Callithrix jacchus: one gene and its partners. Each later gene encodes a partner of the first gene's protein in a complex. Links are inferred from orthologs where the notes say so. Each region holds a gene or a part of one and is shown on either strand. Other genes may lie near its edges.

What was found. Proteins that work in one complex are often made in the same cells at the same time.
Region 2: the proteins of ATP8B1 (region 1) and TMEM30B are in contact, whole or in part, in a cryo-EM structure (PDB 7VGH), measured with the Homo sapiens proteins. The link is inferred for Callithrix jacchus from reciprocal best matches to the Homo sapiens genes ATP8B1 and TMEM30B. Residues at the interface, in NP_001361314.1 of Homo sapiens: Trp362, Val366, Ser369, Ser370, Trp371, Tyr372, Leu373, Tyr374, Asp375, Gly376, Phe418, Trp421, Asp422, Leu423, Tyr426, Asp431, Pro433, His939, Trp942, Arg946, Tyr968, Phe971, Asn972, Gly973, Ser975, Ala976, Gln977, Leu1003, Gln1005, Phe1049; in NP_001017970.1 of Homo sapiens: Gly9, Ala10, His11, Gln12, Pro13, Asn15, Phe18, Thr19, Gln20, Gln21, Arg22, Leu23, Pro24, Ala25, Trp26, Gln27, Pro28, Leu30, Ser31, Ala32, Ala35, Leu38, Phe39, Phe46, Leu49, Leu53, Tyr109, Tyr111, Asn116, Phe117.
Region 3: the proteins of ATP8B1 (region 1) and TMEM30A are in contact, whole or in part, in a cryo-EM structure (PDB 7VGI), measured with the Homo sapiens proteins. The link is inferred for Callithrix jacchus from reciprocal best matches to the Homo sapiens genes ATP8B1 and TMEM30A. Residues at the interface, in NP_001361314.1 of Homo sapiens: Thr138, His359, Trp362, Glu363, Val366, Ser369, Ser370, Trp371, Tyr372, Leu373, Tyr374, Asp375, Gly376, Arg384, Ile388, Phe418, Asn420, Trp421, Asp422, Leu423, Tyr426, Lys430, Asp431, Thr432, Pro433, His939, Trp942, Arg946, Tyr968, Phe971; in NP_060717.1 of Homo sapiens: Lys24, Thr25, Arg26, Arg27, Pro28, Asn30, Phe33, Lys34, Gln35, Gln36, Arg37, Leu38, Pro39, Ala40, Trp41, Gln42, Pro43, Ile44, Leu45, Thr46, Ala47, Val50, Phe54, Ile57, Phe61, Ile64, Ile68, Ile75, Phe119, Tyr121.

Annotation. Positions count from the first base shown.
Region 1 is NC_133514.1:100,856,236-100,860,240, forward strand, and holds the start of ATP8B1 (phospholipid-transporting ATPase IC), read right to left. Parts: upstream 2,801-4,005; 5' UTR 2,438-2,800; intron 1-2,437. UniProt on the Homo sapiens protein: Catalytic component of a P4-ATPase flippase complex which catalyzes the hydrolysis of ATP coupled to the transport of phospholipids, in particular phosphatidylcholines (PC), from the outer to the inner leaflet of the plasma membrane.
Region 2 is NC_133509.1:95,984,254-95,988,455, forward strand, and holds the start of TMEM30B (cell cycle control protein 50B), read right to left. Parts: upstream 2,801-4,202; 5' UTR 2,605-2,800; coding exon 1,543-2,604; 3' UTR 1-1,542. UniProt on the Homo sapiens protein: Accessory component of a P4-ATPase flippase complex which catalyzes the hydrolysis of ATP coupled to the transport of aminophospholipids from the outer to the inner leaflet of various membranes and ensures the maintenance of asymmetric distribution of phospholipids.
Region 3 is NC_133505.1:80,494,995-80,499,124, reverse strand, and holds the start of TMEM30A (cell cycle control protein 50A), read left to right. Parts: upstream 1-1,330; 5' UTR 1,331-1,381; coding exon 1,382-1,912; intron 1,913-4,130. UniProt on the Homo sapiens protein: Accessory component of a P4-ATPase flippase complex which catalyzes the hydrolysis of ATP coupled to the transport of aminophospholipids from the outer to the inner leaflet of various membranes and ensures the maintenance of asymmetric distribution of phospholipids.

The DNA of each region.
Region 1 (4,005 bases):
TTACAGGGGCAAGAAAATATTAAAAATACAGCAGATACATGCAATAATAGTATTTTTAGATAGCAGTCTAATAAAGAAAGAAACCAACATTCAAACACCTACTATGTATAAAGAACATTCATATGTTCTCTAGTTCAATTCTTTCAACAATCCAAAGAGATTGATAATATCTTCCCCCCTCAACAGAAGAGCAAACAGGGGTTCAGAAAATTTAAGAATTCACTTAAGCTTATACAATTAGCAAGTAAAAGAACTGAAATCTGTGGACATCTAAATCCATATGTTTTCCACTACTCCTTGCTTCAAAATGAAGGGAAAGAAAGAAGAAAGAGGAATAGACAGAAGGAAAGGAAAGGAATATTCTACAGCCAGATCTGGTAGTGACTCCATTAGAGCTAAGATCCCCTAGACTGAAAACCAGATTAAACGTGGAATCAATTCTGAACTTGCCTTACTACTGAAGTCTCCTTTTTACGAAGCCATTTGCTTTACCAAATCATTATTTTAAAACCTCTATTAAACAAACAAAACAACAGCTCTCCCAGTTCTATCACTAAGATGTAATAACAAGTGCACGCAGGTGTGTACGTTCCTTAAAACCCAGAAAAAACCTTGAAAGGAGCCAGAGAGCTGAGCTCACACAAGTGGCATCTGTGTTGGACAGTATTAACCACGGAGTCTTGTTCGGCCCTAAATAACCCACCCAAAGAATCACTAAAAGTTGCTAAAATACAGCCACTGGAAAATGCCAAATGAACAAAGTGGTTAATATTCTTCCCCAAAATTATAGCAAGGGAAGCTCTACTACATAATGAAAATCATTAAGAGAATTCGGAGGAGTTAATTGCAGGCAGGCTGACTTCTCCCCAGAAAGTAATCAGCTAATAAGCATTAATCATCTTGTGCACAGTCTATCCATTTATAATAGGATTTAATAAAACCTTCAACAGTAGGCCCAGAATTAATGAATGGCATCTTAGGCTTAACACAAAAGTATGTCTTAGCCGGTGAAAGTTAGCCTTCTACTTCACATTTGCTGCTGTGTCCCCCATTGATATGGGCTCGCATTCACTATCCCTGGAGGCTTTATCACGCGTCGTTTTCTTAGCTCTTGTTCCTGAAAGTAGTTAACCTTCCTCGATAACCTACTGTGTGCCGGGTGTTCGCCAAACATCCCACTAGTGTTTTCTTTTTTAATTTCCCATGGGTAGGGGTAGAATTTTGAAGGCAATGCAACCAGGAAGATGGGAGCTAATCTTTTCTCCCGCCAATAGGCAGACCAGTTTCCCGGAGAGGAACTCGGTGGCGTCCGGAGCTACCCAGGAAAGGCTTGCAGCCCCCCACGGGCCGCGCGTGCAGGCCAAGGGGGTCGGGTCGGGTCGGGTTGAGCCGGGACTCACTGGGCAGAAACGCGGCCCAAGTCCCTCTTTTGCGTGTCAACCCTCCTCCCCGTTTTGCATTGTACTGCATCCCAGTCTCTCCCGTACAGCTGCCACCGATCTGCGCTCCGAGCCTCCCCCCGCCCCCACCACCCCGGCAGGGACTGCACGCACACGCCTCCCTCGTAAAAATTGGGCGGACACTTCAGGACTTTTCTTGTACTTTGGGGAGAAGGAGAAGTGGGGGTTGGGGGGGTGTTAAAGCACTGGGCCATGCCCTGAAACATCTCCTCGAGCCCCCTAACAAGTTGTCCCTCCGCGTGCACACAGCGAGGTGACAGCGTCGGGCATCAAACTGGCGAGGGAAGGAGATGCCTGCAGCCATCTCAGCGGGGCCGGCGGACACGACCCGAGAGTCACCGGAAAAACAGTGTTTCTCTTCCCCATCACCTCCCCTCCCATCCCACAATAAAGCGCTCGGAAGACGTCTGGGGCGTACCCAGTCCTGCAGCAGGAGCTGGGGAGGAGATCCATCTCACCCCTCCATCCCTCCCGACAGGTGGGCCGCCGTCAGATACATTTGGTCCCCAAGTCCTTTTCGGACACCTTGGCATCTGCTCCCAAAGAGCGCCCCAGCAGAAGCCGGTTACCGGGGACTCCCAGAGGGGCGCTGGCCACCGCACCGAAACCAGCGGCACCCCCCAAGGAGCCGCAAGCCCTGCCTGGCTTAACCCCCGGACAGTGTGTAGCTAGCCATCGAAGAACCCAAACACTCCCCGAGAGTTTCCTCCTCCAGGCAGGTGAAAACTCCATAGACCTCTCCGCAGCGCTGCCTGCCCAGCTGGCCTTGCGTCGCCGACCCCGAGGCCACGGGGGGCTTCTAGCACCTCCGCCCAAATGCCACCTGTGCGGGCTCGGGAGCCCGAGGGCGCGGACAGCTGCTGCCACCTCATCTAGGATCTCCAAAGAGCGGCGGGAGCCGCCAGGGGACCTGCAGGACCCTGCCCGGCCAGCGGGCTTGGGGAGGTCGGGGGCCCCGGCGCCGAGCCTCTGCTTACCTGGCGCTCGCTGGGCCCCGGCTGGGGCATCCACCGGGTGTGCGCCGCTCCGAACGCTCGCTGCGCACCTGGCCACTGCCACCACCCGCCCAGCCCCAGCCCCGGCCGCTGCGCTAGCGCTGCATGGCGCACGGGGGCTGGCCGGGGGCCCCAGGAAGCGTGTCCAGTTGGCGGCGGCACCTCAGGCTCTCGCGGCTCGCCAGTGGCTCCTCCGCCTTCCCCCGCCCCGCGTCCGTGCACCCTTCCTCTGCAGCCGCCCTTCTCCCTCCGCACGGCGGGACCGGCCAAACTGGTTTCTCCGCTCCGGGAGGTGCTCTCGTCTCCCTCCAGCAGCCGCCGCCGCCGCAGAGCCTCGGCAGGGCTGAGGCTGGGGGCGGACCCGGGCTTCTCCCCTCCCTTCTTCCCTCCCCAGGGCGGAGAGGGGCTGGACGGCAAGACCCAGGGCGGGCCCAGATCCAGCCCCTGCCCCACGCCCTCCGTGCGTCCTGGAGTCAGATGGGCACCCCCGGCAGTATTCCGAGCCCAGCCTGCGACCCCCTTGCCTCGCCCAGCCTGAGACCCGGCTGCTGAGGCCGCTCTCGGTTCCCTCGGGGCAGCACTCGCCACCCCGCCTCTCCAGCCCAGCGTCACTTTCCCGCCGCCCTCGCTGGCTTGGCCGTCGCCCCGGGTCGAGGACTGCGCCAGCCCGGAAAGCTGGCGGGGCCGCGGCGCGCCCGGGACCTGAGCTCCCTCGGTAAGGGGAGCTGTGTCCTCTTGATGCCAAGTCACGTTTGGGGACCGGTCACCGAATGCGCGTCAAGGTTCGCCGCGCGGAGGGTGAAGAAAGAGACCGCGCCTCAAGGCTTCGAGAAACGTGTCCTGTAATTGCCGCCAGCAGGCTTTCTGCCGAGTCCAAACGCCCTCAAGTTTTTGGGATTTGGCGTCAAAAGGAGTTAAGGTGCCGCACGTGAACTACGCGGTGTAGGTGGAAACTCTGGACTCAGCGCCTAGTTGCTGGCTGCTGTCTGAGTGGGTGAATCGCGCCTCCCAGGCAGTACAGACTTTACCCTCCTAGGGTAGACTTTTACCACTCCCCTACTAGGGACCGAGTCTTTGGGATGAGAATAGAGAAAAGTCAAAGATTAGAGTTTGCTTAAAATGCTAGGGGAGCCAGGACTCCTAGACAGATTCCCAGTCACCTAGAGGCTCACGTCCAGACTCCCAACTGGGTCGTCACAGAGGCTTCCGACAGGAGACCATGCCTGATGGGACTCAATGATTCATAACTTTAGGGATCAGAGGGTATTCAACGGGTGACCAACTGGTTGGATCTTGTCTGATACCAACCCCAAGTCTGCTCTGGGCTTCCTTTTCATGAGTCAAACTTGATCTCTGACTGGGTGCTGGTCAGTCACTCAAATCTGTCCGTGCCTCAGTTTCCTCATTTGTAAGGTGAGATTGGACCAGATGGTCTCTTTCAGCACTCATTTTCCGAAGCTAACGACAGAACAAAGGTAGGGACGCAAGAGAACATGGAGCCTGTTGGTGAGGCTGGGTATCATTCTGCTGGCAGTGCAGTGGTAAGCCCC
Region 2 (4,202 bases), on another chromosome or scaffold:
AAAGTACTTCAAGATCTTGCACTGCCTTAAGTGAATGAGTATAATCAAATGAGTAGTAACTGGAAAATAGCTGTAATAGCAGGCACTGAAGGATTCTGACAAATACCAAATAATTGTTTGCTTTTAGCAAATAAACTGGTAAGATGATATCACAAAGGGCTTTTTTCCCTTTTGCCATACAAGGTTTTTTTTTTTTTTTTAAATAAAGCTATTGCTCCTTGGAATAACTTTAACCATATTGACTGATGTTAGTCAATCAACAAAATCAGCTGAATGCTTTTAGTTGAGTTTTAATGTCATCTCAAAGATTCAAATAATCTTGATTCTAGTTTACATATAAGACTATATATGCCTTTGCCTTGATTGAAATATGATTACTAGACATCAACAGATTTCATTTGAAAACATAAATTTTTTTTCCAGATCCAAGGAAAAAGATTTGAATGAAGCCCTTTCTAATCACACACACACACACACACACGCACACACACACAATTAAATGACAAAGAAGAATGAGCTAGGAGACATAGATGTGACTTTAGGGAAATTACTCTCCCTCAAAGATCTCTTCCAGCTATCTGATTACTATGTAAAGCATTTCCTCTGAACTGTACAAACTGGTCTCACATTTCCAAGTTTCTGCACAGTACCTGAATTTTATACTGAAATATCAAATGAATAACATAAACCCTGACTTACAAATCTGTATGCCAACTAGTTTTCCCCAGATAGTGATTTTTTAAAAATTCATTCAAGTCATCAAGAGCTTCCTACATTCAAGGCAGAGTGCCAGACCAAACCTGGAATATCATGGTTGTCACTGCCCCTGGGAACAAACTGCTATCGGAAAAAGTGAACTCAGGTGACTGCCCAACCTGGTTTAGGGTCGTGATTCCCAAATTTGAGAGAAAATGGGTATCTCCAGAGGAGTTTGTTAAAACACAGCTTCGAGGGTGTCACCCCAGCCTTACTGTGTCTGAATCTCTAGTTGGGTGTCTCCTAATCTAGCTGCATATTTAACAAGTGTATTCTCTCTCTCGCCTCCATGTCTCTTCAGGTCATGTGTGGGCCTCACTCTCCATTCCAACCCTCTCTCCAAAAAGAAAAGAACACCACCACTGTGCTGTAGTGACAAAAGCTCTGGACTCAAGAGTCAGCAGTCATTTGCCAGTTGCCTGATCTTAGTTACTTCACATTGCTAGGTCTCTCAATCTCTTTCTCTAATAGGGGTTGAACAGGAGTCTTCATAGGGATCCCTTCCACTCTCAGATTGAAGAACCTAACACGGCAACTCGGTGTCATGAAGGAGGTGGGGAGAATTTGCATGGATGTTTTACTCTGTAGTCAACATCCCTCCCCACAGCAAGACAGGCTAGCAAGCCCCACAAGGGCAAGGGGGTAATTCCTTTCTCTGGTCCCCTCATTCACAAAGGGAGGAAAAGCGAGGTGAGGTTGGAATCGGATGAGGGGCGAGGGGGAGATGCCAAAAGAAGCTCGCAAGAGTTTTGGCAAGAAGCAGGAAGGGTCCCTAGAAAGCTGGAATCACTCGTCGTCGTCGTCATCATCGTCCTGGTCCTGGTAGCGAATGTAGACGACCAGCATGACAAAGCCAGTGAGGATGCAGAGGGAGCCGACGACCAGGTACGCGATGCCCAGGAAGGGGTTCTTGCCGCCCATCCACGAGATGCTGCTGAAGATGAGGAGCTTGTGGCCGCCGAACGCGCGCACCGGGTAGTTGTAGGTAATATTGACGCGGTAGGCGCCCCGCGGCAGCCCGGCAGAGTAGTTGCCCTGGCGGATGCGCGCGTACAGCTTGCGAAACGTGGGCAGCGCCGCCGTGCGCATCCACACCACGAAGTCCTGGTTGATGAAGCCGGTGTTGTTGGGGTCGGGGCTGAGCTCGTAGACCGGCCGGCGCCAGTTGGGCGGAGGCACCGTGCCTTGGAAGGCCAGCGCCAGGCTGCCGTTTACCAGCGGCGGGTTGCGGAACTTGACGTGGTAGTCAGTCCACCAGGCGATGCCGGAGCGGTCGAGCGGCACCTCGACGTAGGGCCCGCCAGACTGGCGCTGGTGCCACAGCGAGAAGGAGTCGTTGAAGAGGCTGTTGGCGATGGCGCCGCAGGGCGCGATGGGCAGGCCGGCTGCGCTGCGCTGGTAGGGGGCGCACTCGTTGGCCGGGTGGCGCAGCGCGCTGGGCATTCCGCTCAGCTGCTCGTCGTCGCGGGACACGCCGTAGCGCCGGTTGTTCTGGTAGAAGTTGGTCAGCTCGTAGTAGAGGTAGACGGGGCCCTGGAAAAGCTCGGGCAGCGAGAAGTACCAGGCGCACGAGCAGGGGGGCGGCGGCGCGCGGCCCTCGCCGGCCGCGGAGCACACCGAGCAGTTGCCGGTGCCCTGGTCGCCGGTGTAGTCGTACTCCAGCTCCTTGATGCCGTTGGAGGAGTAGTAGAGGCCCAGGCCCAGGCCGATGAAGGCCAGGCCCGCGCAGAAGAAGAGCGGCAGCGCGATGCTGGCCGACAGCAGCGGCTGCCAGGCGGGGAGGCGCTGCTGCGTGAAGGCGGTGTTGTCCGGCTGGTGGGCGCCCCGGGCCGTGGCGCTCCAGGTCATGGCGGCCACGCTGGGAGTCCGACGAGCGTGCTTACCAGGGGGGGGCCCGCCGCGGGGCGCCTCCCCCTCCGCGGCGAGTTAGCCGGGGGATTGCTCACGGACTGGGTTTCCCGCCGGCCCAGGTGGGGTTTTGCCCGAGCCTCGCCTCTGCCTCCCGCACAGGTGAGTTTAGTTCCAGGTCCCACGGGCAGTGCCCACCCTCCCCTCCCCCCAGTTCCGCCTTGGCCCAGGTGTGCTCCGCCCCCGCGGATCACCGGGAGCCAAACCTCGCCCGCCCTTTCCGAGGTGAGCTTGTGGGTGTGTTATTTTTTTACCTTACCCGGTAGACTCAGGCTCGCCTTTCCTCTCCGTCCGGGTCAACGGACTCCAGCTCCTCCTCTCCGAGGTGAGTGGCGGTCCCGGGTGCCTCTGAGTGGCTCATACCTGGCTCGAGTATCACCTTCCTTTCCGCCTTCCAAGTGACTAGAGTTCCTGGGCCAGTCTCCCGAAATCAAAAGGCGCTCCGGCCTCCAGCAGAAATTTTTGCTGAGGGCTAGCACCGAGGTCCTGGCAGCTTGAAGATTTCAGATTGTTAATCCTGCTTTATTTGCGGGGAAAAGGTGACTCTAGACCATTTTGTCTTTAAGGTTAGCTTCAGAAACGCCTTTTGTTCAGCTTTCAGTCTCAAGTTGGAGTGTCCAGGGAATTACACTATGCTAGATCTGTTTCGAATTCAAGGCCTGCGTTCAAATTTTAGCTTTTTTTTTTTTTTTTTTTTTTTTAAAGGGAAAATGATTTTCTGGCCAGATCACCCAGTCTGGCTGTATAACTAGGAAATGTGGAAAGTTCTCTAAAAATAAAATGATCCTTAAAAAGAATCAAAGACTGGAGAGGTTCAGAGCCTTTAAATAACTCTCTAGCTAGTGTAGAAACCAAGAAAGGAGAAAAATATGCTGGACTACATGTGATTTCTTTTTCTTTTCAGAATATTTGCCTGACTAGAAAAAGGTCCAATCCAGGGTCCCAGAAGACCTAGCTGCTATCCTCAAAGACATCTGGAGTGTCTGGCCTAAGGAGGTGAACTACAAGGGTTTATAGGATTTATTATTAAAAAGAACTCAAATTGGCTCCCTACGTTGCCTGGGATTCTGGCTTTTTTATTATTTTTTTTCTTTTTAAATCTAAGTTGGTATAACACATACAAGGGAGTACTGGGACATTCTGATTTCTTACTAAGTCTTATCTAGGTATTATGTTCTTGCTTCTCTTCCAGCTTGTAAAATGCAAGTAATACAAATGTTTTCTCTATTACACTACATCTAGTGTAATATATTGTATCCAGAAGTCATTCAAAACCCATTGAAACTTGGAAAGTTAAAATGCTTGTTAAATTGAACAACACGAATTTTGTTTGCATCTCCCAAGTAAGTGTTCAGTCCTATGCTAATTAGACAAAAAAGAATCTTGACCTCAAGGCATTTGCAGTCTGATAGGGGACATATTAGGAGTAAGAAACAATCAAAACAGCCAATAGTAGTTATTAATCATAGCATGTAATTATCAAATTGCACTTTATAAGTCACACTAAAATTAAAAAGTAATACCGTTTTAAATAATGG
Region 3 (4,130 bases), on another chromosome or scaffold:
TGCGACTTGTGGTCATTTTGAAAAAAAATTTAACTGTAAATTTTTTTTTTCTTTTTTTTGAGATGGAGTTTCGCTCTTGTTGCTCAGGTTGGAGTACAATGGTGGATGTCAGCTCACTGCAACCTCCGCCTCCTGGGTTCAAGCGATTCTCCTGCTTCAGCCTCCTAAGTAACTGAGATTACAGGCACGGCCACCATGCCCGGCTAATTTTGTATTTTTAGTAAAGACGGGGTTTACCATGTTGGCCAGGCAGGTCTCGAACTTCTGACCTTTGGTGATCTACCTCGCTTCGGCCTACCAAAGTGCTGGTATACAGGTATGAGCCACGGAGCCCGGCTTAAATGTAAATTATGAGGACCAAGCACTCTTTAGTTTCTCTTTCCTCAGTTTACCTTCTTTAAGGCATTATTGCAGACTAAGCCTTAAAAAAAAAAAAACTTTAGTTATTTGTTTTCAAATGATGTGACTTACTCTCTGGTCTGGATTTCAAAGATGTGAGTATAATGCGGATTGTATAAAATTATTTAAATTTTACAAATAACATACGCCTATTATAGAAATTCTGGAAAATACAGAAAAGTGCAAAGAACAGAAAAAAAAAAAAAAATCCTCCACCCGGTCAATTGAAGTCACCATTATTCACTTTTTAGTTGGGCCCTATATTATACTTCTACGGTTGCTACACTACTCTAGTATCCTGACTTTGTCACCTTTTATGTCATGAGCATTTCCTTGGGTCATTAAATACTAGGCACTTTTAAAGTGTTTACGAAGTATCTCATTTTGCAGTAATGCTATATGTTCGGGTTTTTATAACAGCAAAAGAAAAAGCTACAGCGTATTACAAAACACTTTATCAATGCGCAAAAGAAAAGAAAAGGAAAAGTAAGGTGAAAATCATCAATGGAGAAACATGAGAATCGCTTAATTAGCGGCAAGATAATAGAGCTAAGGTCACATTATTGCTTCTTGACTTTAGGACAAAAGGGGTACACGTCACTCACCTCTGTTACAAGTTTCTATTTGCACCGTGAATGGCGATTTATTTAATTAGATAAAGTCGCGGTTTTACAACCTAAGCAAATACTGCTAGGTTGCTAGTCCTCCGCCGACTCAATCCCTCTTGAGGCGGCCTTGTAAATGCTCCGACTCCTTCAAAGAAAGCCTCGAGGTATAAAGAAAAAGCTGTCCAGCAATCCAGACCTACTGTAGCCACGATACCCATAGTAACAGACAGGTGTTTGCGAACAAAAGCCACGGATAAGAGCGAAGTTGCGCCTACAGCGCAGGCGCGGATTCTCCGTCGTTCCAGGGCCACGCATGCGCCAACGTAGCTTCACGCCCCAGTGATGGAGCCCCATTCTTTGGCGTCACAGGACAGATGATCAGGGTACGTCCGCCTTTTCCTTCCCCCATCTATCCACCTCCCCTTGTCCCTCCATCTTCTCCCTCCTTCCTCTCTCCCTCCCACTGGCGTCTCCAGCTGACTTTCGCTTCCTATCAGCGGCCTTCGGCGGAAGAGTGTCCCACCTCTTCCGCTCCACGGCGGCGGCGACTGAGGTGGTGGCGCTGGCGGCGGCGACGGCGGCGGCGCTCGAGCGGCTCCTGTCAGGGTCAGCAGGCGGACCCCTTTGGTGGTCCACCTGCGCGTCGCGGAGCGGCGCCCCGGGGACCGATGGCGATGAACTATAACGCGAAGGATGAAGTGGACGGTGGGCCCCCTTGTGCTCCGGGGGGCACCGCGAAGACCCGGAGACCGGATAACACGGCCTTCAAACAGCAACGGCTGCCTGCTTGGCAGCCCATCCTCACGGCTGGCACGGTGCTACCTATTTTCTTCATCATCGGCCTCATCTTCATCCCCATTGGCATTGGAATCTTCGTCACCTCCAACAATATCCGCGAGATCGAGGTGAGGGGAGGGAGCTGTGTTGGGAGTTGGCGTTGCTCGGAAGGAGGGTCCTACGCGCCCGCCCCGCTCTTCTCAGCTCCTGAAGGGTGACAAGCGGTCCCCGCGCCGCCCTCCACCCCCCGCCCCCTTCCTCTGGTTTCTTCCTCTTTCTACGGGTTTCCTGAATTTGCAGGTTTGTCCTAGCTTTGTCTTGCTTGCGATTTACGCTGAGACGCAATGAATGTTTAATGCAGAAGATGGGTCAGGTGAAGAAATGCTTCTTCAGTGGGCGGTTTGTGTAGTTCCTTGGGGGGTTAGGGGGTTGTTCATGGAGGTAAAAAGAGAAGTGGGAGTGGATGCAGTTGTAGCTAGGTAGATGTAACTCTGAGGGAATTGACAGGGTCAAAGTGTCATTACCTTTGTGGGGATGATCCCAAGACAGAGCTTAACACCTTGGCCATTGTTGGGAAAAGAACCAGAGTCATAGAGGTGTTGACGACTCCAATGTAAAGAAGCTGTCGCATGTTATTAGGTCACATATGAAAACTTATGACAAATGCTCATAGTACTTTTCGTTTTGAACTAATTCGATATGTTAGTTGTGGGGCAAGATATACATAAAAGATAACCTGAAATTTCAATTTCGGTTTTGCTTTTAGGTTACATTTATTAATGTGCCCTACATGTGCTATAGTTGTTTTGTTTTGCTTTGGTAGATTTTAAACTTTACAAAAAGAGCCAGTGACCACACTCAGGGAATACGTTGTGCACTGCCTACTAAACATTTTACTGATATTAACTTGCTGAGTATGTAAGACAGGACAGGACAACTTGTATTGGGTAAACATTTCGCTGTCAGAGAAGCACAGTATCTTTATTCATCTGCAGGGGTGAAGATGGTTGACAGTGCACTGTATTAATATATACTGTATAGGTGTCCAGTATTAAGCATCTCTCATCTTTTCTTGCTTATCTGAGAATTTTTTTTTCTAAATCTGTTTGAAAGGGCAGGAACTAGTGCCAAGTTCTCTTGATTCCTTCTGTTTTATATATATATTATACACACACACACACACACACACACATTTTAATAAATATTACTTATGTATGTGATTTAATGGGAGTTTGAGAGTAATTTTATTTTTAACTACTATAATAGTGATGGGGTTCCAGTTTAATTTGCAGTGTTATCTGTAAAAGCAAGATTGATGTATTTTTTAATTCTACAGTGCCTACTTACTTAGGCGTTAATAAGTGATAACATTATTAAGAATACTATCTATAGCATAACTAGTTTTAAAGTTTTTTTTACTAAAAATTCATTCTCAATTTAATAACTAAAAGTGTTTCAGTGTGTTTTTTTAGCATGTATTTTAGTTTATCACTTTAATCTCCCTAATAATCCTGCAAATGTAGTACTTATTGTTCTAACCACATAAGGATCACACATTACGTTAGGATATGAGCAAAGTGGTGTCATGTGAGGAACATGGGCATTGGCTGGGGTCAGACAGAGCTGGTTTTAAATTCAAGCTCTGCTACTAACCAGCTCAGTTTCTTGGAAAATTTCCTTAAACTCTCTGAGCTTCAGTTTCCTGCACAAAAGGTAGAATAATTCATGACTTCTAAGGTGTGAGAATTAGAAGCAATGTAAATAAGATGTCTGGCACTAAGGATCTGTCTCCTGATCCTTAATCAAAAGATGAGAAATATAGAGAGGTTAAGATTTGACAGTAAACTAGTTAAGAGTAAGATGTCTTGATTCCCAGTTTTAAGCTTTCACCCTACACTAAGATCCTTACTGCGATGTTAGTAAAGTGGAAGAAAATAATTTAACGTCAGAAATTTGAATGATTTTATTTAAACTTCTTAACATATTAAGATGAAAATAGCAGTAATTTGGAATTGTATATAAATTAGTATTCTCAGAACTCAACTTCCATTAATATTTAATACAGTATAAAAGTAAATATTTAACTTTCCTTAAAATTTTACTCAGTTTTGGAATAAAGTAAGATTCTTCACATTAAGTAGATGAAATAGAAATTTTTTAAATAGATCTCATGTGTTCTGATCTCAAGTTGCCTCAAGAGTCTGCTGTAGTTTAGTCTGGTTAAAAGGGCACCGAAGAGTCAAGGAATTCAGATTGAAATCCCAGCTCTGTCATTCTGTAGTTTGTGATCTTAAGTATAATTTTGAGTCCAATTTCTTTACTTGAAGAACCAAAAGATTCAAATTA